Mytilus edulis: one gene and its partner. The protein of the gene in region 1 interacts with the protein of each later gene in a pairwise test. Links are inferred from orthologs where the notes say so. Each region holds a gene or a part of one and is shown in the gene's direction. Other genes may lie near its edges.

What was found.
Region 2: the proteins of recombining binding protein suppressor of hairless-like (region 1) and COP9 signalosome complex subunit 5 interact in a two-hybrid assay, tested with the Caenorhabditis elegans proteins (3 studies listed by BioGRID). The link is inferred for Mytilus edulis from reciprocal best matches to the Caenorhabditis elegans genes lag-1 and csn-5.

Annotation. Positions count from the first base shown.
Region 1 is NC_092350.1:41,711,982-41,729,221, reverse strand, and holds the start of recombining binding protein suppressor of hairless-like, read left to right. Parts: upstream 1-8,352; 5' UTR 8,353-8,814; coding exon 8,815-8,844; intron 8,845-12,105; coding exon 12,106-12,427; intron 12,428-16,077; exon of another isoform or gene 16,078-16,173; coding exon of another isoform or gene 16,174-16,231; intron 16,232-16,842; coding exon 16,843-17,035; intron 17,036-17,240. Other genes in the region: ubiquitin carboxyl-terminal hydrolase MINDY-1-like, read right to left, coding at 1,345-1,451, 2,040-2,788, 7,115-7,235. UniProt on the Caenorhabditis elegans protein: Transcriptional regulator that plays a central role in lin-12/Notch and glp-1/Notch signaling pathways, involved in cell-cell communication that regulate a broad spectrum of cell-fate determinations.
Region 2 is NC_092344.1:10,555,322-10,572,191, forward strand, and holds the start of COP9 signalosome complex subunit 5, read left to right. Parts: upstream 1-8,901; 5' UTR 8,902-9,012; coding exon 9,013-9,146; intron 9,147-13,208; coding exon 13,209-13,443; intron 13,444-14,097; coding exon 14,098-14,226; intron 14,227-14,932; coding exon 14,933-14,998; intron 14,999-15,578; coding exon 15,579-15,664; intron 15,665-16,374; coding exon 16,375-16,486; intron 16,487-16,870. Other genes in the region: brefeldin A-inhibited guanine nucleotide-exchange protein 1-like, read right to left, coding at 295-474, 989-1,135, 2,705-2,843, 3,389-3,419, 4,571-4,694. UniProt on the Caenorhabditis elegans protein: Probable protease subunit of the COP9 signalosome complex (CSN), a complex involved in various cellular and developmental processes.

The DNA of each region.
Region 1 (17,240 bases):
AGGGAACGGCCTAAATTGACAACTTGTTTTTTTAAGCTTGACATTGCTTAAGACCATGTCATTCTCATGTGTTATGCTACATTGTATTTGTAACTTATATTTACATAAAAAGAACATTTATGATATGTAGAAGGTTTTGATTTAACTAAACAATTTCAGAAAATTCTTGTAAGTAAAAATAAAATATTACATTTCATATATTATATTATAAAGTCTCGCTTCATTTGAAAACCTCTATTTTTTGGCACAGGGTCATATAAAATCAACTGTTGGTCCATTTTCTGATGCATTTAGTATGCTAAATATTTCTTTCAATAAATAATATCTTATACATTGAGACATTAAAAAGTGCAATTTATTGTTTTTGTGGCATTTTTGAAGCCAAAATTTGAAAGTTGAAATTGTTCTATTTCAACATCACAACTCAGCAACCAAAGTTGAGATATAAAAAATGCCACATTTTCTTTAATATATATCATATGGCTTTGAAACTTTGTAAACTGACTCATAATACACTAAGCTTAAATCATGCTAAGTTTTATTGGTATTGGTCAAGTATTTGGCCCCAAATAGGCCCAAGACCACAATTAATGACCCTGCTTTTCGTTGTTCACGAATATAGTTCCCTTTAATTACAGTGTATTTTTTCTTTATTTTTTTTTCTTTCCCTTTCTCATATATTTCTTAATTTTTTTGGGATGGAAATGAAAGAAGAGAGCTGAAATAAACTTTTGGATGCTTTATTTTAACTGATTTTAATATGGAAAGAGTGATTAAGCCAGGTGCAAAAAAGTAATATTTACAGTTTTCGGAACATCTCTCGACTTGTCCATAGGGGTATGGATGTGTATTGGCTAAATTTGCAAAATCTATACCAGCAATTTTTCTGAAACTTGGATATATTTTTGGACTTGTACAGTACATTACACTCACAAAAGATCTGACAAAAGACACAGGTAGATTTTTTTCAATGAGACAAATTATAAAGAACTGATAGAGGAATTAATTGTGGTCTCGGGCCAGTTTGTATTTCAAACTTATGTGACTTACTGGTACCCTTTAGATCTAACATTAACATCCATACCAGTTTGCTTTTCATACTTACTGGTACCCATTAGATCTAATATTATCATCCGTACCAGTTTGTATATGTATTTCATACTTACTGGTACCCATTAAATCTAATACATTGTATTAACATCCAGACCAGTTTGTATGAAATACTTACTGGTACCCATTAGATCTAATATTAACATTGGGACCAGTTTGTACATGTATTTCATACTTACTGGTACCCATTAAGTTTAATACTAATATCAAGACCTGTTTGTATTTCATACCTACCTGTTAAATCTAACATTAACGTCAAGCCCTGTTTGTAGTTTATGAATAACAGCCATGGCATCCTGCATGTTCTGTTCATAATTTAATTGCACAACCTCTGTAGCATTCTGAAATATAAACCAAAATGATAAATAAAAATTTTCAAAAATTCTAAATGACATCAAATGTAAATGTTCAAGTCATGAGGCAGAATAATTTCACGAATGAGCATTTACCAACTCTCATGTGCCAGGAAATTACATAATTAAAGGTTTAGAAATAAGATCCAGATGTAAACAAAATATATGAAATAATATCTTATTATTATATTATGAGATTTCATGTAATAGTTATGTAAGACACATGTTGTGTTAGGCTCTGATCCTGCCCATAAAGTTATAGTATGGTATTAGGTTTCTGTTTTGCTTTTTCCAATAATATTGTGCATAATATTGTTGTTAAATGATGCCCTTTATGGGTTCTTGATTAGATTAGATTGGTTATTCTCTCTCTAACATCAACTTGCCAAATAAATATGCCTGCTATGATATAACGTTTTCTCTTATTCTCAATGAATTTAACCAATTCTAACCTATTCAATAATTTTTTGTCAATTAACATGTTGATTTTATGTTGCTAGTTGGTTTTTTTGGAATGTTTTGATTTTTTTTCAAAATTGCCTGATTCTTTCTTTAGACTGGCAGTTAATATTTTACCTGTGGTTTATTGGCAAATATACATTCACCTAGATGTGCCATCATTTGTTCGGAGGAAATTATTTCAGTATCAGAACTAAATTTGATTTTTCCTTTTAATAATAAAACATTCATGATTGCCAACAATGGGCAAGGTCCATTTTCATTCTGTGTTATAATAGGTACTTCTTTTCCTTTGAACTTTGCCCATTTAATTTGATAAACACCCTCTAAAGATCCACAACTAGATTTGTCATCCATTGGAGATTGAGAACGCTCATTTTCACAATCTGTAGTTTCTGGTTTTAATGAGTCCTGTAATGTAGCACCATTATTTTTCTCTGATTCTGTTCTGTCCCCTTCTAAGGGAGGTAACTTCACAGACATTGTCTCTGAATTTGAAATTTCTGATTCTGAACTTTGAAATTTTGACAAATCTGAATATTTAGTATCTGACATCTGCGAGTCATTTTTAGAGTCTGACATCTCAGAGGTGTCTTTTTTCAAGGGAGGTAATTCCACTTTTAATTCCTCATTTCCAGACACTTCATTCTGTTTGCTGCTATTGTTTGTTTCTTTATCAATATCATTAGACTTTTCATTTCTTTTGGTAGATGGCAACGCCCATTTATCTGTTTCCATAGATTCTCCTGTTACACTGTCACTGTTTGAAACTGACTTATCTTCTCCTGGAGGAGTATAAACATCTGGTTGACTTTGATCCATTGTTGTGGTATCCCCTAAACACATTTCTTCTACATCATCAGATCCTGAAAAGTAAATATGTTTTTTCAAGTTTCAAACAGTTACAAGATAGAAATATAAGATAACAGTTCACACTCAGCAGTCACCTTCGTTTAGTTTGTCAAAATGAAATATGGCTTAAAAAAATTGCTGACATATTATTAACTTGCAAGACAATAACTAACCCTAATTTGTATTTGTACTCTGTATTTTGATTGGTTGTTTTGGACATGTGGTCAACAAGTCTAGTTATTCTGTTATTGAAAACTGTATTACCTGAAAATTGAAAATAGGGAACTAATTTCATTATTTGTGTGGGCCTGCAAAAAATAATCATTCTTATACAGTTTAACAATGATGTAACCAATAATTTAATTTTTATTTATGATATGAAATCAAGCAAGGGAAAACTTTTACCCCTGCTAATAATTTATATCTGTCTATATTTTCCTACAAAATGTGCATTGCATTTATATTAATTTTGGGTTCACCGGTTCACACGTCCATTGTCAATCTTTTGAGATCTTGCAATTGGCTAGCTATGACCAATTAGATATACAATCTCAAAATAATTTAATATAAATAATTTAAGATAAAATAGTTTCAGAATCATATTTCGTTCTGGTTTTAGTTTTGTAGAATATTCCTTTCCATGAAATAAACATAAATTAGTAATTGACACATGATTGAGGTCAAGACTCTAATTAATTTGGCAATTTAGCATTATATAAGAAAGATCATGTCATAGGGAACCTGAAGCGCACTTTCATTTTCTACGTTCAGTGGACTGTGAAAAGGGGATCAAAACTCTAATTTGGCATTAAATTAAGAACGATCATACATGTATCATAGGGAAACATGTGTACTAAGTTTCAAGTTGATTGGACTTCAACTGTATCAAAAACTACCTTGACCAAAAACTTTAACCAAGAACCTAAAGTGGTCCAGACTGACGAAAGGAAAGATGCACACATCAAAAAACATAATGCCCCTAAGTGGGGCATAAAAAAATCAACTTTAAATTGGTCTATAATTTTAAAAAAGTATAGTGGTATCATAAGTGGTATCCTAGTGTTATCAGTTCTCGATAGTGTAACACATTTTTGCTCCATAGGGCCAGTTCTTCAAAAAATGTTGTTAAAGCTGATTGTGTTAATTTAGTAGATACTTTTATTCATTTCCTATTATCCTCACAATTTTCTCTAGTGTAATTCAAGAAAAAATCAAAACATTTGTTGTTGTGCTCAATTTTGACATTGTGTCAGAACAATACGTCATTGATCAGTTCTCGATAGTTGTGAAAAGTATAGTATGGTGAGCATGTTTCACTTTGATATGAATAGAAGATTTCAAATTACGCAAATTGAAGAAAAGTATCAATTCACTATCATTTGTCTCTAGAAAACATATTTTTTTATGAACTTTTAGCCTTATCGATCAATTAAGGCATCTTTAACTGATATCCAAGGAATCATCACTAAAGGTCAAAAAAATGCATTGAATATTAATTTTAGATGATTTTAAATTATTGAACCAATCCTTATTTATCATTAGATGTTGTCACAGCTGTTATAAATATTTTTTGTCACAGTAACAATTTCATAAACAATATTTAAGGGCATTACTTTTCCGATAATCTAATTGAATTAATTTTATAGTTGATAAGATATGGCACAAACTGCGTTCCATAGAATTTTTTCCATAGCGACGTCACACCAGGCTTAAGGTAGCACAATACAAAGATTTTGTCACTCCTAATCAGACAACTTTAAACTGATGTAATTCATTTTATCCGTCTTTATATTTTATAAATGAGGTACCAAAAGAAGGAAGAAAGATTAATCTTTCAAATTGTGATAATTTCATTATGACATAATTATTACATAATTAATTATTATGTAATTAGTTGCTATATTGTGATGTCCACACTTGAATGAATTTAGCTTCTTTGTTCTTCATAGCATCCCAAAATATTTTATAGATTCTTGTACAACACAGCTTGACCTCCAAAACTGTGTCTCAGATTTCCAAAAACATCAATAGAACAAATTTTATACCCAATTGAATTTAGTGGTCTCTTATGATTTCATGTTGCAAACTTCATTGAAGATTTATGAGAGAATGAAATACAATAGGAAAAATCTGAGACACAGTTTTGGAGGTCAAACTGTGTTGTGCAAGAATCTATAAAATATTTTGGGATGCTATGAAAAACAAAGAAGCTAAATTCATTCAAGTATAGACATCACAATATGGCAACTAATTACATAACAATTAATGATGTAATAATTATGTCATAATGAAATTATCACAATTTGAAAGATTAATCCTTCTTCTTTCTTTTGGTACCTCATTTATAAAATTCAAAGAAAGATGAGTGGAATTACATCAGTTTAAAGATGTATGATTGGGGATGAAAAATCTTTGTATTGTGCTACCTTAAATTAAAATATTGTTTGTTTGCCCTTTACCGACCAACCCTATAAATTCGTTCCGCCTGAAAATCTTTAATTTGCATTTACCAGCAAGATTTTATTTTATTTTTTCGTCCTACCAAAAATCTTATATTTGTATTTCCCGCTCAAAACTTTTTTACCGGAATCCTCGGGTTTCATCTTTATCGTATAAGGTCAAGTCCGTTTGGTATCACGTGAGGGTTTGACATGCACACTTGCATATAGCATGCATAGAGTTTCAAAGCATTTGTTTGAAATCGATGTTAAACGCTTTGAAATAATGATATGACGTACGTTAACTCTGCATCTTTTTACTTGAAGAGCAGGGTTCATTTACAAAAAAGTTTGTTTAATAAAAAATTATTAACGTCTGTACAAACTATTTTGTGTAAACGGACGTTGTATTTTATGTAGGGATGGCCTTTTGTGATCCGTAGATTAGGATGATTATCATGGTTAACGATGCCTTCGACCAGCATTGCCATATTATTTATATCTGACATGAACCAAAGGTGACAAAAGCCTGTAAAGTGGAGAATATTTGGCAGTAAAATCACCAAAGTTTTCCATACAAATCATTTATAAATGCGATGTAAAATACGTGACAATTGAGTTCAAGTTTTGTAGCATTTTTATTGGAAACATGGGCACACACGGAAATTTAAACACTCTAGGGACTTTTTCTTATAGTAATGTATGTCTGCCCGGACATATTTAACCTGGACAAAGTAATCTCTTACAGAAAACCTTTAGGTAGAGGTAAGCACACAAGGTATGTAGTACAGAATATTAGTGCAATTTAAATCTCTTCAAAGTTACAGGCATAAATGAACGTTGAAAATATGCGACACAGCTCTTTATTTTGATATTTGAAAACAAAATAGTAGTGCAAAAAAAAAGCCATATGAATTAACTTCACATTCTACATGATATTTTTTTTTTCAAAACGTTGTCCCACAAACTTATAAGCAAATGCAAAACAGACAAAAAATGACATTATGCAGATTTTGTATCTATAAAATAAAATATTATACCTACCTGCCTACCCATGTAAAAAAATATACAGAGTCAAGTAATTTTTTTGGGGAAAAAAATAAAATATTTTACCTACCTACCTACCCTGTTTCAAAACATAGGGTCGGAAAAGGGCAAACAAACAATATTTTAATTTAGGCCCCAATTCTTACAATTGTGTATTACGTATGTGGACTTATCCTTCTTTTCGAGCTAAGTTTTGTTTACATTTGAAACTATGCTATTTATGAACCGAGGGGATGAAGTTGGGGTTGTTTTGGGGATAACGTAAAGTAGGCTAAAATCGGAAAATATTATCTTTACTGTTATAAATGTCATAAATCTTGAAATGTTGAAATTAATGATTGCTTGAAGCAAGTTTTTATTCTCAATCTGTCCTTAAAATACCGTCATGCAGGTGCGATTTCGCGAACCTACTTTTATTTTAACTATGCACATTGCTATCTAGAACTGATTAGTAATGAAAACATATGACTTCACGATATCATAAGTTAAGATTAAGGAGCTTTGTATCACTTACATACATATGTTGTTTTAAACAAAAATAGAAAACTCGTCATTTTAATTTTAGATGGTAACCACAACATGACAGGGTATTCATGTTGGTTACAAAACTAAAAATGACAAGTGTTTTACTAACATATACTTTTTGGCATGCAATTTTTAAAAAGTGCATGAAGATCTAAATTTTGACAAAAATTGGCAAAAAGTCCATATGTGTGGTTTCACTTTATTTTTTGCAACATTTGGCTTTTTTTTAAAAGACAATAACAAAAGTTTTGTGTCTGTTTTCTGTATAAAAAATGATGTTCTATTTCAGTGATAAAGCCAAAAGTTATGCTAAATCGTGGCATGACTTACCAGGGTTTGACGATGCGTCATCAATTCGAGTAATTACAGCATTGATTTCACCAGAATCGGTTTTATTTGAATTGCTGGTATTGACATTTAAATCGGCGATAATATTGTCGTTTGCAGACATGATAGCAAAATTAGTGCAAGCAGGTTATTACACAATGTTCTTTTTTTGTGTTGCTTTTTGCTTCAACTGTAAACAACTCTCGCCATTTTTCTCGCCACACTTAACCTCGACTCTAATACTACAAATTTTCCCAGGGGTTCAATGAGGGATAAATTTGCTCATAGAATATAATAAATTTGTAGTGACATGTGTTTGGGCGTTTTTTCCCAAGAAAATGTTCACAGTCGTTCCGTTCTCTTGGTTTAAAGGTCTTAAATTGTATACTTATTGGCCCACTGAGTACTTTCAAACAACTCAGAAGAATAAGAGGTACAAAATAGGGCATGCCCATTGACAACAAATATGCGCCATCTTGCAAAGTTCTGAAACTTGGGTCCCACTTGCATTTCATCTTATTATTCCGTTGCTTTAACTTATATAACATCTAAATTAATGCAGGACACTGATGGATTGAATATACTTTGGAATATTGATATGCTATAAAAGCATCAACCTAGATTTTTTTTGGTATTGTTAAAGTTGAATGAACTTTCCTGAAGTTTTGACCTCTTGATCCAGGACAGCATCAGTAACTGTCGGTGAGTAGTTTTAAAGCTTGAAAGCATTTAATTATTTTCTTGAAAAAAATAATAATAAAGTTTAAAAACACCGGTAATGTATAAATCTATTAAATTAAATGTCAATATAAGTATGTACAATTTTAAAGATTTAACTACGCTTGAAAAGGTGGTTGGGTTCAGAATTTCTTCCATATGAAAGCTGGTCATCAAATTTTTGGATCTTTAATGTTGGATACTAGATGGATTCTGGTAAGCCTGGATGTTGGCTCACTTGGGAACTTCTGAAAGTGGGTCAACAGGTCAAAATATTCAACTGTAATTTGTTCAAGTGGAAAACTATCCAGTCAGTATCAGCTTAATCGCACACTGCACTATACTGCAAATAGCGTTGTTTGTGGCATCTATCACGCTGCATTCGATGGTGCACCAGTGAAGTTTGCAAATTTGTGACTGTCCTAGATTGAATGATGCCGTGGGAACACCTGCTAGAATCGTAAAGTCAACAGCCAATCGGCACGCGACGTTCTCTGTAATTGGCTGTTTAATTTAATGCACCTACTTTCTTACAGAAGGCTTATCATGCCGGAATTTGCTATTTTAATTTGATTTGATGGAATATTTTATTTATATAATGAATAATTGATAATGAAATATTTATTGCAAAAGTTTATCACGTATAGAACGTAACCAAAAACTATTTTAATCTCCATATGGTCCCTTTTCTAAAAGTGGATAAGGGGGAGTGGATTGTAACAGCCCTTGATCATTGTTCTCACGATCAAAGATGCAAATGTGTTTTCCCACGGGTCTTCTAGGTTATTTACAACTTGAATCTGGCTCTTTTTAGGAGTAAAACAAAAAGCAGTGGTAACTCATTGCAAATGAAAGGATACGTATTATAGATGAGCTTGTTATGTTGACTCGTGTTATATATCAAATTTGGACAAGTGCTCAGAATTATAATGCAGTTAACACCTGACTGATTGATTTCTTTTTGAACATTTTCCGATATTTTCAAGATGAATAATCAACAGTTATATGTTTCCCAGGTGAGTCTACAATCATTATGTTCAATTTTATTTGTCTGACGAAGAGAAATAATACGATTTGATATATTGTGCAATATTTTATCATTTCATCAAAAGTTTTCTTTATATTGGAAATGATCACCAGAGTTGTTTTGACCTTTAGAAGTTGACCTCACAGACACCGCTAATGAGTTTACACTCGTGGGAATTTTTCCCACGGTTTTGTATACTTTGTAACAAGTGGTTGATATTTACATGATTAATCATCAACAATTTAAAAGATTGTTTACTTAAATTAAAGGCTGAATTTTAAAGTTTAAATACAAAGGCAATTTTATTTTCAATAGAATAGTTGGACAAATAAAATTTGTTTGCCAAGTCATGCAGTTTTCACAGGAGCTTACAAATTTATAAAATATTAAAAACTTGCATGTATAATTCTGATGAATTAAAATGTAAGAATGTTCTTGTAAGTTTTATGTAAGAAGAAACTTAATAAAAAATGCACACTGTTATTATAAAATATGCAAACTGTTCACATCTTTAGCTAGTGTTATTTTAGTTTGAGGTCACCAAAAAAATAATGCACTGGTGATCTTTTGCTGAAATGAGTGAAAAAAATGGTTTTAAGGTTTATTCACTCCTTTAGATTGTGTACAACTCACACATTTGCAACTCATTCCGCTTGTACCCTATTATTGTCTTGCTACAACTAAAGTTGCAGAAAGCCAAACATACATGTATGGATAGATTTTTCGAAGAAAATGAAGAAAATTGTCATCTTTTTCAACAATTTTTTCAGAGTTTTGTACTCGAGTAAATTTGATAGGAACTATTATCACATGTCGACATCATTATATTTATAAAGTTGCTTAAAATTTACTATCAGTATATTGATGACTACTTCAAGACCCTGTACCGTAGGTTATCATGGTCATGGTTTAGCAACTTTTGAATTAATAATCAATTTTCAATATTAAGTTAGTTTGATAGGAACTTCTTGTCATAGAACATTGATATCTATAATACTAAAATTACGAGGTCCAATTTGTCAGCCGTCATCGGGTAAAAACGACAAATCAAAGAATTCAACTCTATATATAACTAATATAGGACAATGGTGTAGATTAAAAATTACACCACTCCAGACCCTTTTGTTTTCCACATAATTATAAATATTGCCAATAATTAACAAGTTCCGGGTCTAATCCGATACCGATACCAATAGTATATATTCACCTGTTAGATATTACCTTATCTGTACGTTCCGCATTTGACAGGCGCACCACCAAACGGTGTATTTAGGATTTTGCTATATACACGGGTCATAATCAAAGGGCTGACACTACTAAATTCAATTGCCAATGAGACAGAAGAGATCAAATTAGAAAGATGTACAACAACACAACAGAACCAACTGTAAATTAAAAAATCAATTGGAAATGGCTTGATTCCTCAGATGTAAGAAGTACATGTTCTATCAAAAAGACAAAAGATGCAAAGTACACGTATGAAAGAGTACTTACATACATGTATAGTTGATGAAAGCTAATTACATGTAGTCAAAGTTAATTTCAACTTATTAATATCAAGGATTCTCCTGACTTAAACTAAAAATAAGACTGTTTAAATAAAAAAGTATGTTAATTACAATTGCGGAGGGTATAATGTTTTTGACCCTTTCGTCCGTCAGTCCTGTTTCTTGTCATCACAACTCCTCTCAAACCACACAACCGAATTTCACAAAATCTTTTTATATGAAAAGGACATATTATGTAGTTGTGCATATCGACAGGAAATTACGATTCAATTTTATTTTTAGGAGTTACGCCCCTTTGAACTTATTTGCTTCAATGTACTACTGCAACAGTTTGTCATCGCAACTCCTCTGAAACTACATAACAGAATTTCATGAAACCTTTTCAGATAATAAGGACATACTATGTAGATGTGCATATCGACCGGAAATCACGATTCAATTTTTTTCTAGGAGTTACATGTACGCCTCTTTGAACTTATTTGCTTTAAGATACTACATGTTGTACTTCAACAGTTTGTCATCTCAACTCTTCTGAAACCACAGAACAGAATTTCATGAAACTTTGTAGATAATAAGGACATACTACGTAGATGTGCATATCGACAGAAAATTACGATTCAATTTTATTTTTAGGAGTTACGCCCCTTTGAACTTATTTGCTTCAATGTACTACTGCAACAGTTTGTCATCGCAACTCCTCTGAAACTACATAACAGAATTTCATGAAACCTTTTCAGATAATAAGGACATACTATGTAGATGTGCATATCGACAGGAAATCACGATTCAATTTTTTTCTAGGAGTTACATGTACGCCTCTTTGAACTTATTTGCTTTAAGATACATTATGTACTACATGTTGTACTTCAACAGTTTGTCATCTCAACTCTTCTGAAACCACAGAACAGAATTTCATGAAACTTTGTAGATAATAAGGACATACTACGTAGATGTGCATATCAACAGGAAATTACAATTCAATTTTTTTCTAGGAGTTATGCCCCTTTGAACTTATTTGCTTCAATGTACTACTGCAACAGTTTGTCATCGCAACTCCTCTGAAACTACATAACAGAATTTCATGAAACCTTTTCAGATAATAAGGACATACTATGTAGATGTGCATATCGACAGGAAATCACGATTCAATTTTTTTCTAGGAGTTACATGTACGCCTCTTTGAACTTATTTGCTTTAAGATACATTATGTACTACATGTTGTACTTCAACAGTTTGTCATCTCAACTCTTCTGAAACCACAGAACAGAATTTCATGAAACTTTGTAGATAATAAGGACATACTACGTAGATGTGCATATCAACAGGAAATTACAATTCAATTTTTTTCTAGGAGTTATGCCCCTTTGAACTTATTTGCTTCAATGTACTTCTGCAACAGTTTGTCATCTCAACTCCTCTGAAAACACACAACAGAATTTCATGAAATTTTGTAGATAATAAGGACATACTATGGAGATGTGTATATTGACAGGAAATTATTATTCAGTATTTTTTCTTATACAATTTTTTTTTCTTATACTTATTTAATTTCTCCAATGACAATGTGGGGACGTGGGGTATGTGAGCGTCCTCACTAAGGTTCTTTAATTTGTACATGAACATGTATCTAGTATTACAAAATGTATGAAGGTTGTAGCCCTTAAGTCGCAAGCTTGCATGAGCCTTGGCCCTTGGGTAGATTATACACATTGTTTAATCATGTTTAATGTTATATCTGTTAGGCAGGCTATGGATACACAATAGAAGCATTGGCAGACCCACATTATGAACACTGCACACCTCAGGCCCAAAATGGACACAGTGGACATTTTACTGATGCAAGATACATGTTACAAAATGATGAAAATTTGTATCAGGGACAAGAAAACGTCTGTTCGACACGTAGAAACCTAAATGGTCATATGGCTCAAGGCGGGTATGAAAATCCCGTAGACTTGTCTAGTAAATTGATCAATGTGAATGGTTATATTAAGAGTGAATCTGTGCAAAATGGAGGATATCAACGAGAAAGGACACCCATTATGGGCAGTCATAGGGAACAAGGTCAGTTAAACTCCTTATTGTTATCCATTGTACATTTTGTTATAAATCATAAAAACAGGACCTTATATCATCAAATGGAAGTTTTTAGTGACGTTGACTGGCTATACAGCCCTTGCACCGTTGGTGGACCTTATATAATCTAGTTCAGGAAAGTTTATCCATGAAATGCCTCATTTCAAAAAACTGAAATGATTTTTGGTGTGAAGATTGAAAAAAATGCTTTTTAATCCCTACCACCACAATTGTCTTGCTTTTGATTCATACACTTTTTATTCTCTTCAAACAAGCATTTACACAAGTTGCATAAAGTTTCCACAATATTCAAGAATCTATGTTCTAGCTAAACAGTTATAAGCCAAGGGAGATAACTGAAAAATGTAACCTATTATTATTTTTGTAAAGAATAAAACATAATTGGTCAGTTCATGGTACATTTGTAATTGGATATTTAATATTTCTTTTGTGAATAGTTGACATTTTTCACAGTCTCAAATATGCAGAATAAATTTAAAATATTTAAAATAGTCTTCTAATTGTGGATTTACATTGCTAGTGCTGCATATTCATTGCAAGGCCAAGAGAAACCAACCTTGTCAATGCATCTTATTACTTTTTGGAGATCATATGCTTCCATTAATTTTTTTTTCTTTTTTTTTTCTTATCTTATTGAAGGGTTTATGAGATTCAAACACAAGTAAATTTCTGTTGCTTCTAAGTTTTAGTTAAAAATGTAATGCAAGTGTTAATAGTACAAGTGACATGATAGTCACGACAGAGTATTAAGTGTACATTATGTAATTTAGATGGAATGTTTCAAATCTTCATGAGAACTTAAATAAGGCACAAAATATTAATGGATTAAATAGTAACTCCCTGAAATGATCCAGTTCATTGATGCACTGTAATTGATTTTTATCATCCCAATAAAATGCTTTGAAAGATCACACTGCTTGATGCATATTTTAATCTGTATATCCAATGATTAGACTTTTTCATTTAAACTTATGTACATGTACTAATGTATACATTAGTTGCTTGTAACCATGCAAATCCATTCATTTTGTAGTACCAGTTCTTTTAAAGAACAAATGTCTAATAGTTTCTATAGATTGCCTTAATCTTTTATAAAACTGTTTCATTATGATTTGTTGATGTCCTGATAAGGCCAAACAAAATAATATGTGTGTTTTCTATTACCATGATTACATCTTTAAAAAAAAAATTGAGTAGTTACAAACAATGTAGGTAGGTAGAGTTTTTTTTTAATTTTGTTTTATTGCAGTCTATATATGGAAGAGAAATTCTGACTTTAACAGTGCTTATTGAAAAAATGAAATTTTATTTAGGGTAGGCTATTTCTATGCTTAAAAAATAGAGGAGGTGGAGTAATAGGAAACACATCTTTTATATTTGGCCTAAATATATTTCTGTGGGTTAAATGACCATTAATCTATAAGGGATGTAAACAGAAGTATTGATAGCGATTGGAAATCAAACAAGCACTGCCTTATTTTACACAATTAAATTAACAAGCAGAAATTGATTAATTTAACAAATAGTTGAAGGTTCTTTGTAGAATAGGATCATTATAAGCATGATTTAGGCCAAATCAGTTGACAATATCCGACAAGATATCAAGTTTCTCTTTGATAATTTGTTTCATAGGTTTAAATAGTTTCTTGAACATCATGTAAATTGGATGGCTACAATGTACATGTATGTTAGTTTTGTCAGTTGTTTCTGCTTAATTTTCTGTTATTTAAACTGTTCATAAATGATAGTTGTAGCAGAATTTATGAAGTAATTTTTACGTGAGGAAGAATGTATTGGATGTTTAGCTTAACTGCAAAAGCCACTGTATACTATCTCTGCAGTCATGTTTTAAAATGGTGGACGATTACATTTTTTAAGAGTTATGCCCCATGGAAATATTAAATTTATTGAAAGTGGCCAAGTTAACTCTCATGAGTACAATTCTTGTAAGATTTTTATAAAACTTATACTGTAGGTTAATATCAGCAACATCTTGGACAAGTTCTTAAATGGTGGACGATCAACTTTTTAAAGAGTTATGCCCCTTCGGAAATATTAAATAAGTGCAATATGCGGTGGACATTGGAACTCTGTTTTATTTTTGTGGAGAAATTGGGAGTATCTTGAGAAAATGAACCACTGACCTTTTACAGGAAGACTGACTACCCTTATCAAAATTGAGATCTTGAATGTGGATGTTACTAAGTGAGATAAAAAGTGATGTCATACGTATACTCACAATATCAAATATGATCCCTAGATGTACTTATAACTTTCAAATGCTTCAAAATGGTTTCAATAAAATGTTTACAAAAAGAAGATTTTTAGGCTAAAAATGTGACTATGTTTATTTTGTGAGACAATTATGTATACCCAAAAAAATCAGAATTCAAAATGGTGGCTCTGTTAGTTCCAGAAAGTAGTAAATGTTGGCCCCATTGCCAGCAATGCTATTTTTATCAATCATCTCCTTAAATGGCGTTTTGAATCAACTATTTTCATGGTTCAGTGACCACTTGAAAAAAAGGTTCAGAGCTTTTGTAATGTTGAATTCTCTCTTATTATAAGTAATAGGATAACAATATTTGATATGTGCGTACCTTGCAAGGTCCTCATGTTTGTCAGACAGTTTTCACTTGACCTTGACCTCATTTCATGGATCAGTGAACAAGGTTAAGTTTTGGTGGTCAAGTCCATATCTCAGATACTATAAGCAATAGGGCTAGTATATTCGGTGTATGGAAGGACTGTAAGGTGTACATGTCCAACTTTCAGGTGTCATCTGACCTTGACCTCATTGGTCAAAGTTAAGTTTTTGAGTTTTGGTCTTTTATCTAATACTATATGCCATAGGTCAACTATATTTGATGTATGGAAATATTTTATGATCTTTATGTCAGTTGCGCAGGTTTATTTGATCGTGACCTCATTTTCACGGTTCATTGCACAGTGTTAAGTTTTTGTGTTTTGGTCTATTTTTCTTAAACTATAAGCAATAGGTCAACTATATATGTTGTATAGAAGCATTGTTAGCTGTACATGTCTGTCTGGCATGGTTCATCTGACCTTGACCTCATTTTCACGGTTCATTGGTCTTTGTTTAGTTATCTTGGTTAATGTTAAGTTTATGTGACAGTTGTAATTAAGCTTAGCTTTATACTTAGGACTATCAACATAATATCAATGATTAGTATAGAAAGCGAGACATTTCAGCGTGTGCACTCTTGTTATCTATATGTCATGTTCCCTTCATAAAATGGCTGCACCCATGATTTAGTACATTGTAACCTTTATTTACATGATTGGAAATCCAATATGGCCACCAACATTACCATTTTGAAGTATTTTTTAAATCATCATTTTTATGTGTTTAAACCAATTAATTTTAATTATAAATCCAACTTGAATTTCCCTTGATATATAGAAATGAATCGATAAATTCTTCCTTCTTATATAAATTGGTACATATCAATTGAAGTATACTTGCACTTTTACAAAAGTTTAAAGATATAATCAATGGTTAAATGACACAAACCTTACAAGTGTGTAATTTTCCCTTTTGAGCCTCAGGAAAGACAAACAGTGGTATGGGAAAAGCACAACAGATTACAGGTGTTACTTATAATTATCAATAGTAAAGCTAAGCTAAGATAACCCCAAGTAAGGTTTTCTCCCAATCACAGAAAGATCATTTGGTCCAGGCAGGATTCAGTATGTTAGCACATAATTCAGACATGATGTTTGATGAATTTCATTATATTTTAGATGACAGTAAGTTTTGATTATTGTTTTAAAGAAAGTTTATTGATTTTTCTTTTAATTTGGTTAAGTATGGTTAAAAATTAGAATGTCTTTGTTTATACTTATTTCCTTATAATGTAATTGTTTTTACATGAAAACTAAAATTCTGGCACATAATTTTAAGAACAGTGCAAACTAGAGAGGATTGTTCCAAAAAAAGAAAACATGAAATAATTTCTGTGAAAAAATCTGACAAATTAAAGGATTACAAAAAGTAAAAAAATATTTTTTTTTTCTCAAAAAAATTGAAAGATTTTATAACTAATTGATTTTTAAATCCTAGAAAATACTTGTCACCATTTATTTCTGGCTTACAAACTGCTGATGCAATAGAGTCTGTAATTGCTATTATAAACAATTGATTTGTCTATCATGTGTTATAGGTTATAAATAAATGATGTACAGGTACATGTACCTATTGTATTGATTCACTGTACTGTTTTAGTAAATATTAAAAAGGGGGCTATCTTTACTTTAACGAGCAATAAAACACATTTCTGTTGTTAATTTCACAGTTTTATAGTTCTCTGCTCAATTTGCAGATAAAAGAAATAAGAATTAATTTTATTTTTTTATTGCAGATCCTCCTCATATGGGTATGGGGTCACTGACTCCACCAGAGAAGTCAGAATATGACACAGTTGCCATGTCAACCACAAGTCCACTCAACAGCATGCCACCACAACAGACCTTAGTGGCACCTCCAAGTCCCAAATCAACTCCGTCCCCTAGAAATTTAATGTACCCCTCAAGCTTTCAAATGGATCACAGAAGGTGAGTTGTAACTCAAAGTTGTACATGTCATTTATAGTTGACTGACGTGGTGAACATATTACTCTTTTATAGAAATGCAAGAAGCTAAATGACCAAAAATAACATACATGTACAAAAACAATAAAAATTATCTAAGGTTAACTTTGACTGAGGGTGTTGAAACCCCAAAAGAATGTAAACAAAGAGATGAATTGACATGTCACCT
Region 2 (16,870 bases), on another chromosome or scaffold:
AATTAATTTTAAATTTGTGTTTTCCAATATGCTACATATATATGTAAAATGTTTTATGAGTTTTTGCAAATTTAAATTTTCAGAGATAAGCTATCACAACAGAATAAAACTGTAATAATTATTGTCCATTTATTGTAGATTCATAAGTAACAAGAACCAATCTGACGAAAGAACTATTCAAGTTTATTGTCTTTATAAGTAAAATCTGGTATAATGAAGCTTTTTTCTAAGATTATAACATACACAAATTAACGGCATTGTTTCTAGTTTCCTTGTAATTCTTTTATTACTTACAGCCTGCAGTTCCATTCTTGAGAATATGACGTTTAACATCTGCGTGAGGGTAGCTTTAGCTGTTGTTTGGTTAACTAGGTTTTTACTAGCTAGATAGATATTATAACAAGTCCTGACAGTTTGTAGAACTGTACCCTCATGTATTTCTACTGTATTTGATGTAACCACTGTCAATAGAGCCTGTTAAAAAAGAAAAATACTGCAAATTGACAAGTTTACTCTTTAAGAAATCTTAAATCCTCATTTTAAATCATGTACATCTGTATATTTTTTCAGAACCCCTTATAAAACTACAAGTTACAGTATAGTCAACAATAAAGTATTATTTTGTTAATCCAAATGGATTTTAGTAGCTAAGTAAATGCTTACAATATATTATTTCCTAAGTATATACAACAAACACAAATGCAATGTGAGAGTATTGAGAACTAGATTTGATTATTTTACTTTAAAAGTATTTTTATTAACACAATATTTTTAAAATTGATAAATTTCCGTGATGTTTTAAAAGTTGGTCAACATCTGTCTAAATGAGAATTCCTTAATACAAACAGTAAATCAAATGGTTGGATAATTAGAAGTGGCAATTTCAAAAAAATGAACAAGATCTCATTGGTCTCCAGGTCAGTTCATCTAAACCTGTTTGCACACTGGCTCTCAGGGGTCAAGTTTAGAACTTTGTATTGAAACAAACCTTTATAATCTGTAACTGTACACCTTCATCTGTCTGTGGTCCATGGAAACATCCACAAATCGTCTCTACAATGCGATCTATCAACCTTTTACCAGGAGAAGTAGTATCTACGGCATTTCCAGTCAGATGACCATAGGCAATTAGTTTCTGTAATCATTAACAGTAATACAATTCAATTTCAAATGCCTGGCTCAAAAGGAAACCAAGAAATAGTGTATAATTATGTCTATCATCAGTTGAACAAAATGCTTATTATTAGTAGAACCTTTGTTACAAAATATAGTTCATTTTCATCTCAGAAAAATATTTACATAAGTGAAAAGTTACTTCTTTCCAAGGCTTCCAAAACGGTCATATATTCCGGTCATTTGTATAATGTCCGGTAAAAGTCCGGTTGGGCAAAGCATGAAACGGTCATATACTTTTTAGTTTTCAAGGCTTTTTCGGTCATTTTATACATGATCTTTTTGACCCAAACTTTTTGCCATTAACATAAACACATTTCCGGTCATAAATGTGACATGATGATTAATTACTATCAAAACAACACCTAATCCAATACTTTCTAATTTTAATCAAGGCTAATTAGTAGTTGGACAGCTGAAATCTACCTGTTCAGGTGACAGGTGAACTATGTTCAGTACCAGACATCGTATAAATTGATCGGTCTATTCACAATTTTTTTCTTACTTTTCAGCGGTTTGTTTCTTATTGATTTAGTCCAAAAGATTAAAATTATTAGAAATTAGTTTATCAACATGATTTGATGAAAAATTTAAAAAGGTTTTAAATGAAAAATCGTCAGAACTACGTCGTATGAACTAGAACATGTGTGCGCATGTGCACAGGTGGGAAATTTAATTATGCATCCTACATTTCTTCAAAAATGCTAAAATTATCATCGATACCTGTATCTAACGTTCATTTCAAGTATTTTGTTGAAGAAATAACATGGAAAGAGCTTCTTCACTTAGTCGTGCTTTGTAAACATTCAGGGATTTTACGTATCCGTTTATGGTCCATGTTTTACCATTGTCAAGTCAACATCCGGTTAGAACAATGTGAAAACGAAACTAAAGATTTGACAATGTCATTTTGCACAAATAAAAAGTCTAAGGCAGATATGAGCAAGCTGATGTGCACACTTTGAATGATGCACTGCCAATTTAACAGTTACATCCGAACATCAAATTCATATCATATCAAAGTAAAGTTTAAAATCGTTTTTTTTTATGCAATGTCAATCATTGGAATGGCCATCTGATTACCATAATTGCCTTTGTGACCAAGTCTTAAGGAATTAAAATCGGAATCAGATATGAAATGTCCGGCTGGCTCAAATATTTTTTGGAAGCCCTGCTTCTTTCCTCCATTAAATTTCTTAGAATTATGTCACTTTTGCATAGTAACAACTGAAACATTTGACTTTGGGATAAAATTTCAAATGACTGGAACAAGTGCCAAAACCCCTGTTATACTAACGCAGTCAACTTCTGAAGGATTTAAAAAATAATCATGAGAGCTTTACATCTCACAATCCTAAAAGGATTTGGCAGAAAATATCAAATTCAAAGTATATTGGTGTGTCACATGGCAATGAAGAAAAAATAAAACAAGAGAGAACTTCTCTGTGTGCTTTTTTCATGAAACAAAACTTTTTGTCAGCAATAAAAATGGTGAATAATTCTCACAATATTGTACAGAATGCTAGCTTACCTGTAAGCAGTCTAGTGCTACATTTACAATCCTGAAGCATTTGGATTGACATGCTAGTTCAAATGGTAAGAAGTATTTATCTGCTTCCACAAAACCAGCTTGTTTAGGTGTAGGTAACGCTGATGATGACTGGTCTTCACTAAAATATAAACAACAACTTATATTTTTGAACAATGTTTCAAGTTTCTCTTTGTTTTTTTAATCATACTTATTATACATACATCTATATGAATTTTATGGTAATAAAAACTTTTGTCACTGAATTCTAAACTATAAGTGATTTTTTTTATGATTTATTAATTTTGTAGATTTCTTGAGGAAAATTTCGCAACAATATACAATGAATATGTTTAGTGTGAATATCAAAACTGCATAATTATTATTTTGCAAACAACAAAAACTTGTACTGTCCTTTTCCATTGTTTTCCGCATATCTAGCAAACCATTTCTTGATTCCTGATATCTTCACCCCACTCCCCATGGAAAAACAACCTTTCAAAACCCAGCAATATCTGTTCTATGTGTTTAAATGCAGAATATAATATGTATGATGCAGTCAAAGACCATTTTAGTCTTTAAATGGTAATATACAAATAAATAAAACTTGCAAGTCTTTGAGGCACAAGATATTGGCAAATGGCAATAAAAGTAATTACAATAACATAAAAACTTAATTAATGTTACCTTTGAACACTGCTTTCTTTCTTTAGTTGATCTGAAACATAAATAGAACATTAAAAGTAATTGTCATCACATTCTTATATAGATTAATATTCTGAAAATCAGAATGTTTTAATGTATGCTCTTGAGTAGCAAGAACTGCAAGTGAAAGAAAAGTACTTCAAAAAAACTTGTTTTTCTTAGAAATAACATGGGACCAATTTCTAATGTCAATGCTTTGCCTCTTTTTTATAGAAATAAATTGTCCGCCTTTAAATTTCTTTATTTATAATCATCGACTATGTAAATATGGAATATTGCTGATAAGAAAAGAGACTGTTGTGAACACTCAGGCAACAAAATATTGCTTTTGACAGTAGGAAAAGTGAATGTAGTGACAGACGGGAAAGCGATTTCCATCTCCAAGTTGCGAGGTAGCACCAGCCTTGAGCCACAACCAGACAAGCCAAATTTGCATACAAGTGTAAATACGTCTATAGGCCAGTTCCGGGATACGGTTTTCAGACGAATCTGTCATGTGACTTCCATCACCACTTGACAAAAATGTATGCATAGAAATTTCAAACATGTTGAGCAAACGGGTAAAAAAAAATTATTTTATTCTGCACAAAATATTTTGGAAATTAAAAATCCTCCCTCATTCATACAGCAATCACGATTATGTACTTACGGAACATTAATTATTTCTATACTACCCTACAGACTGACGTTTATGAAAGTGCTGGAAACTTTTAATAGAACAGGGATACAGGCGCGCCTTCTATCTGGTAAATGACGTCATTAAGGTGTTCGAAATTGACGATCTTTTCCGGTGAAAGACATGATTCCAGATATGACCTATTGATCAACATGATCAGAAGTACATGATGATGTCACAGACAAGTAAAATCCTATGACTTATTAGGTAGCACCTGCCTCAAATAAAAAATAAATGGTATTTATGGGATATCATTTTGGTAAATTTTCTTCAATTGGTCAGAAATACTGGGTTCAAAACAAAATTTGCCTGTAGTGTATACATTTTTTTTGTACACTCACATCTGTCATCAGACATCACTCATCAGACAGACTATAAAACCTTTGCTATGCATAAAATTACGGATAATTTTTTTTCAACCATCATAACAAATAAGCATCGTAGACGTTAAATGACCCGAAATAGAATTCATGATGTGATTCACTTACCTAGTGCCACCTCACAGGCTTTTTTCAGTTGGGAGTGATGAGCTTTTTTTATTTCTTTGTCGCTCAAGATTTTCTCGAGAGCTCTTGTAAGGAACATTTCGTTTGGCCTGTTGCCTTTACGCATTATGCCAATCAATCGACATATCAAATAGAAAGGTTAAGTTATTTCTGTTGATGAACAAATGTTTCGTTGGAATACGGAACACCTGTAACAGTTGTCCACCATTCAAATCACGTGACCAAATGCCGACGATATATTCTGGTACCCTTTTCAGTCCAAAATAGATTAAGTTATTTACAGAATATGTCCGTACAGAACTATATAAGGAATGTCTAATAACATAAAACACATATAAAGGACAACATACAACAACTAATGTTATTTTTTTTAAATGAAAATCCCACCGGATACGTTTCAAACTATTTGTAAAAACGGCACGAGAGAGAGAATATAAAGATTCTATCACTGCATCAAAATTATTCATAAAACAGAAGGTGTACTAAAACTTAAACAAAAACTTAAATCCAAGGATTTGTATAGTAAGACTTACTATACAAATCCTTGTTAAATCAAAGTAGCAGGACCAGATCATAAATAATTTAAACCAGAGACATATATACACATGTATATATGTCTCTGTTTAAACCAAGACTTAAAAAAGAACTTTCACATAATTTGCACCGATACTTACCATCATGATGTGTGAAGTCAGTTAAAACAAAATTTGTTCCAGGCAGAGACATAGTCGAGTCACAGGGGTCAGATCTTGGACACGGTCTTTTCCTGCACTACATAAACGATATCCCAACTGGTCTTACAGTGCGGTTATTTGCAGATGACACCATAGTTAAATTGGAAATGAAATTCTGATGCATCTCTATTACAAAAAGATCTTGACAAATTGACATCATGGGAAACTACGTGGAAAATGGCATTCCACCCAGACAAATGTAATGTTATTTCAGTAACCAGAAATTAAAAAAAACCGTGACAAAAAAACAGTCATTATTCTACAGTCATTCTTTAGAACATGTAACAACAACAAAATATCTAGGGGTAACCACCTGCCTGCATTTCATGTAAATAACTTGAACTAATACTAGCTAGTAACATGATGAAACACCGTCTTGAAACAAATAAAATACTAAATGAACTACAACACGGACCCAGAGCAAAAAGATCATGTGAATCATAATTAATATCTCTTATACACCAAACTAGCTCAAAACAATGATAGAAATATACAAACTAATCTAGTAATTGTGGATTTTTTCAAAGCATTTGATAAAGTGCCACACACACACTTACTTTACAGATTAAACACTATAATACGACATTTCAGATCAACCAACTCAATGGATTAAATCATTTCTCAAACAGTCACTAAATATGCTTCTAATATTGCCAGTATGGCAGAACTTGGTCGTTATCCAATCTCTATATTTGTTATTTTGCAGTCTCTTAAATACTGGCTATATTTGTATAAAGACCCTCTTTTGAATTTTTCAAAATTAGCATATAAGTCAATCGAAGATGTTGATTGTACCTTTCCATGTACCTTAAATAAACACATTTTTCAGTTTCTAAAATTCATTCGTTTTGACCATGTTTGGAATAATAAAGGAACTATGTCAGAAGGAAAACTCATATCTGCAGTGAAAACGATATTACAAGAAAGATATGGCAATTATTTTTTCTCATGTTTGTCAGGTGAAAAGCAAAACAAACTACGCACATATTACAAGTTAAAAAGGAATATAAACCTGAGACTTATACAAAGTTAAATATCTCGAAACTATATATTAGACAATTATGTAAAATTAAGAATTTCTAACCACAATTTACACATTGAAAAAGGCAGATATAATGATACACCTTTGGATCAAAGAATATGTAAACATTGTATTGATAACAAAATTGAAGATGAGTTTCATTTTATATGTGAATGCAACCTCTATCAAGACGAGAGAGAAAGGTTTTATGATGACATTGTCAATATCATACCATGTTTTTGTAATTTAGATAATTTTGATAAATTTAAATATTTAATGAACTGTTCGGAGACTGGTGTTCTCAACAGATTTCTTATATATATAGACTAAAATTGAGAATGGAAATGGGGAATGTATTTTGATTAGATATTCTTCAGTGGGAATAATTTCATAATATTGAAGTGTGAGTTTTGTCTCTTGCTTATTATAAGTGTCAAAATTGTTGGCTGTTATGTTTTATTGTTGTTTTGTTTTGTATATGTTTTTATATGTGTTCATGTGTTTCAGCCGATGATCCTTTTGTACTGGATTTTATACTGAATAAAATTAGTTAGTTAGTTAGTTAGTTACTCAAAAACTCAACATCTGAAAAAAAATCCAATACATTATTCTCATTTGTATTAACGACTTACCTGACTACATAAAACACAGCCAGATAAGACTCTAAGCAGATGACAGGATTATTTACCGGCCTATTACTTGCCAAAACGATTGAATAAAGCTTCAGGAAGACCGTGAAAGTAACAGCTATAAAATGGGAGAAAGACTGGCTCATGTCATTTCACATGGACAAATGTTAATGGTCAGAGTATGTTTGACTGAAATAAAAACTCATCAAAGATATTTGTTGTAACATGTGTAATAAAGTATTGATTTGCTTAAGTTGGGTTTCCTAGTTATCCGGAGAAATCCGGAGTAAATTTTTTATAAAGATATATATAAGGGTCTAGATGAGGTTCTTCTTCTTCTTCCAGGTAAGGAACCGGATAATTCTGGCTTTTATTCAACAGACAAGAGAGACCTATTGACCATGTTGACGGTGTTTGAGAGCTGCCGCCGTGAATCTCTCAACCGTATTTGGGCCTCGATTTGCGCATACAATATTGTCTTTCAGTTGGTTCCAATGTATTATGCTCTTGACAAAACTCGAAAACTAATTAAAGTTTAAGTTTATAATTTGTACAAATCAGATATTATTTAATGAATGGCTATTATCCATTTTGAATTTATTGAACCATAAAACTAATTTTTGACTCTTCACATTGAATAATCCGCGAAGCGGATTATGTAAAATGTGAAGAGTCAAAAATTAGTTTTATGGTTCAATAAAATCAAAATAAATTATTGCCATTCATTATAAATAAATTTCTATAAAAAAAAATTAGGCTCAAAGAACTCTTTATATTAACAATAACAACGTACACACATGGCGTATGAATACACAATGTCAGAGTGGGCGTGTCACCATGAAAATTGACAACATTGAAAATAAAACTAATAATTTTAACCAATCAGAAGACAGTAAAAACACCAAATTTATTTATATACAGACTCTATTAGCAATAACTTTATATATACTAACTCTCACGTGCCTAGGAAATTACATTATTAAAGGTTTAGAAATAAGATCCAGATGTAAACAAAATATATGAAATAATATAATATTTTATTGTTATAACATTTAATATAATAGTTATATAAGACACATGTTGTGTCAGGCTCTGATCCTGTCAATAACGTTATAGTATGGTATTAGTTTTCTGTTTTGCTTTTTCCAATCATATTGTGTTGTAAAATGATGCCCTTTATGGGTTCTTGATTAGATTAATAAAATTCTTATCTTATCTTATCTTATATACAATGTAGGCAACTGACACTCCTCATAAAAAAAATAAAAATACATTTGTGTCTGTATTTTTATCTGTATTTTATTTTTCATTTACATGTTGTACTGTTAAATCAATCATCCTTAATCAGAACGATAGTTAGACATACGACATAAAGCTTTATTTAGAGTCGGTATAAGCAAGCAATTACAATAAAGATCTGAAGAGCTTTTAAAACCGACATAACAACAAGTAAAACAAAACATACATATCGAGTCATGCACACAAACATTAAACATATAAAGCAAGAGTTCATATCAGTATATAAACATGCAGCACAAAAGTTTGTTAAGCATCTTATAAGTTAAACACATACTGATACATGCAATTATGAGATAAAAACACAAAAGCACAAATAAAATGGTTGTATGTGTGAGTGTAACACTATGCGAGTGGGAGAGAAAGGCTTTTTATTTTTACTGTATATGATTACATGCTTGTTATGAGCCCTATGATTAGGAAATAAAATATCTTTATCTTTTATACCCATGTGATGTGATTGTCCAAACTTTACGAAGGGATTAACTGTCAAATTAATTCAGAATGACACATTCTTTTGTTATATTTCGTTGTGGCGATTTGTTGTTTGAAATAATGGTAGTTTAACTTTATCTTAAATGGTATCATAAGAAAACAATCTCAATAGACATTAATTCACATACCGTATAACGTACGGAAATCAGAAATATACAATTTTGAACCAGTATGTTGTGACTTTTGTATGGTTCCTTGTTTCTGAATTGACATCAGAATCCAGAATCAAGAATCTTAAAAAAAATAATCATGGATGCGAAAAATGCATTTAAAACTTGGGAAATGTCAAACAATGTTGAGAACGTTAACAGTATGGACGAAATATACAGATACGACAAGAGACAACAACAAGATATTCTTACAGCAAAGCCATGGGATAAAGAGTAATTGTCAATAGTCTGTTAAAAATTCTTCAAGTCAGCCAGTAATAGTTTATTAAACTGTGGAAATTTTAGTGATGAACAATGCAGATTTAATCATAAACATGCTGATATTCATCTCTTTTTCAATTTCAGAATAATTTGATTTTAGATATATATAAACATGATAAAACCATACTTTGAATGAAAATCATAAAGCTTCCTAAAAACTTGCTAGTGTCTTATTTTCCTTACACTCTATATATATCATGTATATATAGACTGCATAACAGAATGGACCTTATGGGTTTTTTTTCGGGAATCTGCGACACTTGACCTGAGAATATTGGTGACACTTAAACTATTATCAGGATTAAACGCCTTTTTAAAGGAATTTATTGGTGTATAAACTTGACCAATTCACTCACAAACAATGATATGTTTGTATTAAGGTGTATTATAGTGTTAAGCAGTCATTCCCAAAAAATGGGTACAATTACAAAATTTCAGTGTCGCCGGCAAATAACCACAAAATGCAAGCTTAACATATGTCACAGATAATCTTTTTCGTGTTCTAAGTGATTAATATGTATACTAAAATAAAATCATATTCTTTTGTGATGTATATCAGAAATATATTTGTGTGATTTTCTATTCAATATACGGAAATCACACGAATTCCGAATGTCGCCAAGAAAAACTCCAAATATCGGTGTGAATTAAAATACTTTATTTCATCTAAATCATGATTAGATTTGCTTTTTTTATTTGACACTATATTGATTTTTATCCACAAAAATATTTTAGAATCAAAAGTTATAATATACACTTTGATTTACCCATTAAACCAATGTCGCCGATAAACGTATAACCTACCGTAACGAATCTTTAGGTACAGTCAAAACATATTTATATGATTGGAAATCATGCCCAAAGTGACTTTAAGCAAAGTTGATACATCAAATTTTAAAATCCTGCCTTTAACTTTTAGTGCAATGAAACGAAAAATTAAAAAAAATCTTCTCTTTCTCTTTTTTTCGATTGTCGCATATAAGAATCCAACCTACGTAACGCGTATTTTGGAACGCACTTACCAAGAACAAATCAAAATGATGATTATTTCATTGAAAGCACCCATAAAGCTTCTCAATAATCAGTTTTGAGAAAGCAACTCAACAATATTGTTACATATTTCCATGTATAATGTAAATAAAACTAACCTCCGTTTAAATAACCTCCGTGACGCAGTTATTTACAGTTAAGTTGTCAGACTTTTTTATCAGTATCAGCGGCTGCCGACACTGCCGAAAGTCATTTTTGTAGCAGACATCATTTATTATAAAGAAAACAGACAAACAAAATACAGATTTTGAGAAAAAAAATGTTGTTTTGAGAAAGGTAGGTTAACTTGTTTTTTCCCTATTATGTGAACAACATTATAACGTTTAATAAACGTTATATCAGCCATTTTCTTAGATTTAAAATAGTCTACAACACAATTTGTGTAATTACGACGACAATCATAACTTTAACAGCGGTTTATGGCAAACATTTTCAAGATTATTTAGGACTCATCAATGTAACGGAGGTTATGCAAATAAAAAAATCTAAAGATGCATGTAAACACGATCATACCAATTGAAATTCTTCTACATTGTTATAGATACCAAATCAGTTCATCAATTATCACTAATAAATATCAAAAGGTGATGTCAATCATATCTACGACATCATTGATTTACGTTACGGAGGATAGAAATTTAAGGAAAAAAAGTTTTTTTTCTCTAACAGGACTTTTCTCTTTTTAGATAACGATTTACTAAGAAAAATGTTTAATTCTGTTGTCTTGTTTGTCATTTAATTCCAATATTTACATTCATTTATATGTTTGCTGTTGGTAAGAACTGGAATTGTCCGTTATGGAGGTTTTAAATGTCGTTACGGAGGATAGAAATTTTCGAAATGAAACTATTTTGACTCCAAAACTTCATAGTTGAGTATAATACATACATTATGGTGTGAAGGAAGATGACATTATCTGTATAGAGCTAATAAATTAAGTTGAAAAATATTCGGTTTAGGTAAAACATATTTTTGAGTGAAAGTTCATGAATCGTTACGGAGATTTTGACAAGAACAAGTTCATTTGACTAAAAGAAACATATAACTTGATAGAAAACAGTTTTTTTAGTTTGAAATGTCAATAAATTGTTTAGAAAAGCTAGCATTAAAGAGTTAAGTGTTACTATGTATCAGCATTCAGATACTGGTTTGATATCAACCTCCGTAACAAAGATGGGGGTGTGGATTAATACAAGCATAAAAAATACATACAAGTGATTCAAAACATAAATAATAGGGTTTTTCCTGGAAAGCTGTATTATGAAACTAAAATATTATACAGCATAACATTTCATTAGTTTAAATTTATTACTAAATAAGTTGTGAAAACTACTTATTTGAATTATTTTTTAAACACTATATTAATTCAGACCTTAAAATTGGTATATATATACAGAATAATACGTATAAATCAGTTTGCTATGGTGGTAAACGTAACCCATTTCACATGAGCCTGGATTTAAATCTTGTGTTTTTCTCTAATACAATTTTTAAGATGACTTTATACAACACTAACCTCCGATACGTTCATACTTACCTTGTCTTACAAAAAATGCTAAAACTAGAAAACAACTAAAATGGTGTAAGTAAAAATTAAAAAAATGACAGACTAGATATAGACACAGAAGAAAACAACACTCTCTCTCTGCTCAGTTGAAATTTATTTTTTAACAGTGTCTACATTCGAATTGTACCCATTTTTTGGGAATGACTGTAAGGTGTATTATAAACATTTGGAATGTTTTTGTTGACATTTTTGTGTGAGACCTTATAACTCTTGTGTTAACCTGATTACATAATATTGTTCAGGATTTAACCAAGAAGACAATAATGTAGAGTATTTTCCATTAAATGTATAACTAAATGTAACAATGTCATTATGATTGGTTTTGTAATGTCATTACATCAATGACCAAGTAAAATACTGAATTTGTCATTGTTTGTGGAATTAGGAATAAAATTCATAGTTATTTTATATATTTAAATAAAAAAATAGAATATTATTTTAAAGAGATACATTGTTCAAAATACAGACTTTGTTCTCTTTCACATGAAGCACACACATTGTTCAAAATACAGACTTCGTTCACTTTCACATGAAGCATGCTGCACCTCACTCATATTGCTTGCTAACAATAAGCTATTTAAAACTTTTAATTACATTTTAAAAAGCAATTGACTACTGATAACTGACAAAAAGGAGCATATTTGGAGTTCTTGCTTATAATGTGTAAAGAAATGAAAGTCATATTTTTTATTTATTTTGACAAGAAATGCCACGAATGAAAAATTTTGTTTGATTTCCTATTTTCATATGTGCATATGAGTAAGCTTTTGATTCAGGTTGCAAATGTTTCAAATGCTATAGGAATATATTTTTATCAGATGCAGAATTGTCAAGTGTAGACTAGAAAATGTGAGACAGATAAAATTTGAAATTGGCAACATAGCCCTGGCAGTGACAGTGTGGCCTCTGAAAATAATTTGTAGTGTTTCAGTCAGAGATATCCACCTCAGTGCATAGTGTTTTTTTCATATTTTTAATTCAACCAATTCACTGTGTACTGTTTCTGGTGTCGGCAGTGTCAACAATTGTTTGTGATATTTGGTATACAGTTTTATTAGTTTCAGCATATTTCATTTCCATAGATATTATTTGACCCTGCCTTCCCAGTTATTGTTCATCATGTTCATTGACTTTAAATAAATTTCAGAATTTCCAATATACATTTGTACTATCAAAATTACACACAGGCAAGACATATCTCTGTGTCAACATTATACTGAAATAAATCAGCAGATCAAAAGCCCTATATACTAGGGTAATCCTCAAGGTACCAGTCATTCAAACAATTATACTGCATCTTATTTTATAATGTAAATGGTCCAACACAAGTCCTCAACATGTTTATAAAAGAATACAAGTTAACATTATAAATGTCTACCTACCTTTTTTATTTTCAGTCCACACTACTTCAAACACATCAAAGTTTCAGCCCTAGCTTTACTTAAAATGGTGATGCATGCCCGGTCAGGAGGTAATCTTGAAATCATGGGCCTCCTGCTGGGGAAAGTAGATGGCAGCACAATGATTGTAATGGACAGTTTTGCACTGCCTGTAGAAGGGACAGAAACCAGAGTTAATGCCCAGTCACAAGCCTATGAATACATGGCTGCTTACACAGAATCTGCTAAACAGGTAACCAATAATAAGGATGTTGCTTTTATTTGACCATGTGACAATATGAACTCTTTGGGATATTTGCTTTGATCTTGATCATTAACCCAAAAAACTTCCACATTGGGACTAGCACATGATATTATACAATATAAATATATGAGAAAAGCTATAATAGTTACCTACCTGTGTTCTGTAAATGAGGTTATTGTACATTGTTTGGTGATGGTCTGTCAGTCTTTTATGTTGATCTCCAATTCTATTCCATGTTGCTCTATATAGTTTTATTGCTTATGTTAATTTGTGATAAGGTTTTTTGAATTTTAACTTTTAATTCAGGAATCAAATTATTAATTGGACAAAAGTAAAAATAACATTTGGACCTTGGTTCTCTAATTTGTATAGATAAAATCCATATATATATATATATATAATCTTTGATTTTAAACTGCTTTTAACGGTCTAATTTTAATATTGCATCTTTGGAAATTTATTGAACAACCCTAAGAGATCTAGAGTTGCAGATAGTTTTAATAACAGGCAATAAATGAACAATATTTTGATATTTCAATGTGTATAAAGTTGCAACTCAGTTAAGGGTGTTTCAAAATATTCTGTAAGATCCTTAAAGTAGTCATGGTAGTTATGTTATATATTTGATTGTATACATTACAGGTTGGGAGATTAGAGAATGCTGTAGGATGGTATCACAGCCATCCAGGATATGGTTGTTGGTTATCTGGTATAGACGTCAGTACACAGATGTTGAATCAACAGTTTCAGGAACCTTTTGTTGCTATTGTGGTAACATCATTATTTTAATTACCTTCATCCTATAAAAAAAACCTTTGGGACTTGCATCCTGACTGTGATGATAGTTACCATTGATGTGCTACATTTTTCTTTTTGGCAGGATTGTTATATATTTTATTCTGTGCAAGTACCTTTGTATAAAATATTATTGTGCCAACTTTTATGTGAAAACTGAATAGTATCATATATATTCAGTATTCATGATCTATATTTGTTAATATATTGAATATCATATAAAACATATAGTTTTCCTAAAGTTTTGATTGTATTTCTTAAAATCCGATTTTCATAAAATCAGCTTTGAAAATAATCAATATATAGCTAGATGATTAGTGGTTTGCTCTTTTGAAGATTTTAAACATATAAAAGAAAGGTTCCAAAACATCTCCATCTCATTAAATAAATGCATCAATCCCTAAAGTGTTGTTGTAACTGCTTTCACATAAGATAAACCATATAGGCTGTAATACACACCAACACATGCTATTGCACACACTTATAGCTGTAATACACACAAACACATACTATTGCACACAATTATATCTGTAATACACACAAACACATACTATTGCACACACTTCAAACTACAAAACACCTATGGTTTTGTGACAAAGGTAACCAATTATAATTACAATGAGTTTACAAATTATGAGAAAGCAAACTTGTGACTGATTCTCATCTTTATTTATTTCAACAGATAGATCCAGTTAGAACTATTTCAGCAGGAAAAGTCAACATTGGTGCATTCAGGACATACCCAAAGGTAATACTTAATTGTCATAAACAAATATTTTATCGTTATTGAAAATAAATACATACTCAGTATAATGATCATATTCCTAAAAAAGACTATTTTCAGGTTGAATGTACTGTAGACAATGTGAGATGATATGAAATAAAGACGCAAAGTGTAGATTTTCATTTAACCTGCAATTGTGCTAAAACAAAAAGAAATATTTTGAAAATATATATTCATAATAAGACACTAAAAGATAGGTACATATGTATATTTTTTTAATATCATAAGAATTGTTAGTCTAACTATGCTTTGTGATGTTTGAATGACAAATGCAACCTAGGAAAAAAAATCAGTAACAAAACAAAACTATTGAAAAAAGTGTTAACAAGAATGCAATGCTCTTTTGTATCAAGAATTAATGAATAGAAAATAGAAAATTTAAACAGATTCAAATGATTTGAAATAAAATTTTGTTATTTTACATGTTCAAAGAGGTAATAATGTTGTTCGTGAAATTTCATATTGTCAATATTTTATAAAACGTTTTTGATTTTGTGTTCCCCTTACAAATTTTTCACTTATTAATTGATTTGTCTTTTTTCAGGGTTATAAGCCACCAGATGAAGGTCCATCTGAATACCAGTCTATACCGCTCAGTAAAATAGAAGATTTTGGTGTACACTGTAAACAGTAAGTTGCTACTATGTATCTTAAAATTTTTGAAAAGTATTTTTTCAATCTGCTCAAAAGAAAAGGTATATTGGTTGACCTCTGTTTATCCTTTTGTTAGATATACATTTCTGTCACATTTTCTCAGCAAACATATGTCATAGGTTCTTGATATATGACACCAATCTTAATCTGTTTATGCCATGCCATGTGATACATTTTCAGTTACTTCAATATGCCGCTTCCTTTTTGCCTGAAACTTGTATCTTTAAAATGTCATGCACATACATGAAATTTAGTTCACACTTTTCTCAGCAATAACAAGTTATACATTCTTTATATATGCAGGGGTATAATTTTATTATCTTACAGTACATCTTGTTTGAAAAAAAAGATGTAGTTACAAGAATAGGAGAAAATTGGAATTAAGCTCTTTTTGTATATCTGACAAAGTTTTCTTTGATGACAAATTTTCAAAAGCATGTTTAATCCATTATATTTTATCAAACTGTCTTCATCAGCAATGTGAAGAGAGGAATAACAATTTTATGATTATATGAAAAGTTGTTCTAAAATCTTGAAAGGTTATAATTTAGAACTTCTCTTAAGTTCAAATTCTAGTGTGTCACAATTATCTAAAAAAAAAAAATCGTTTTATAAGGAAGTACACAGATATCTTTGTCACAATATGTTTTAAATTATCTTTATACAAAGTTTATTTTTAATTTCAGGTATTTTTCATTAGATATTTCCTACTTCAAATCATCATTAGATAGAAAGTTATTAGAGTCACTGTGGAATAAATACTGGGTTAATACACTCAGTTCTTCAAGTCTTCTCACAGTAAGTTGCATTTAAATGTTATCATAAACTGAGTGTGTCCTTAATTGCAATGTCACTTTTATTATTCAAGTGTGTTGTTATTTTCCTGCTAAAGAGGAGAGTTATATTGTTTTACCTCTGTCTTATCGTCTTTCCGTACTGACCTTCCATTTGTACTTCTGACCCACGAAATTGTCACATTTTTCTCAGGAACCAAAAATTAGAGCTTCCTTTAATTTGCTATCAATTTTGAAAATTTGTCAGTTCAAAATACATTATCATTAGTCCAATTTTCGTTTGTGTGAGACATTCGGACTGACTAGGTTACAACATAACAAATTTTTACCTGTCTAATTTCATTTTTTAAAAATCATGATTAATATCAAAATTACCATTATCACATGA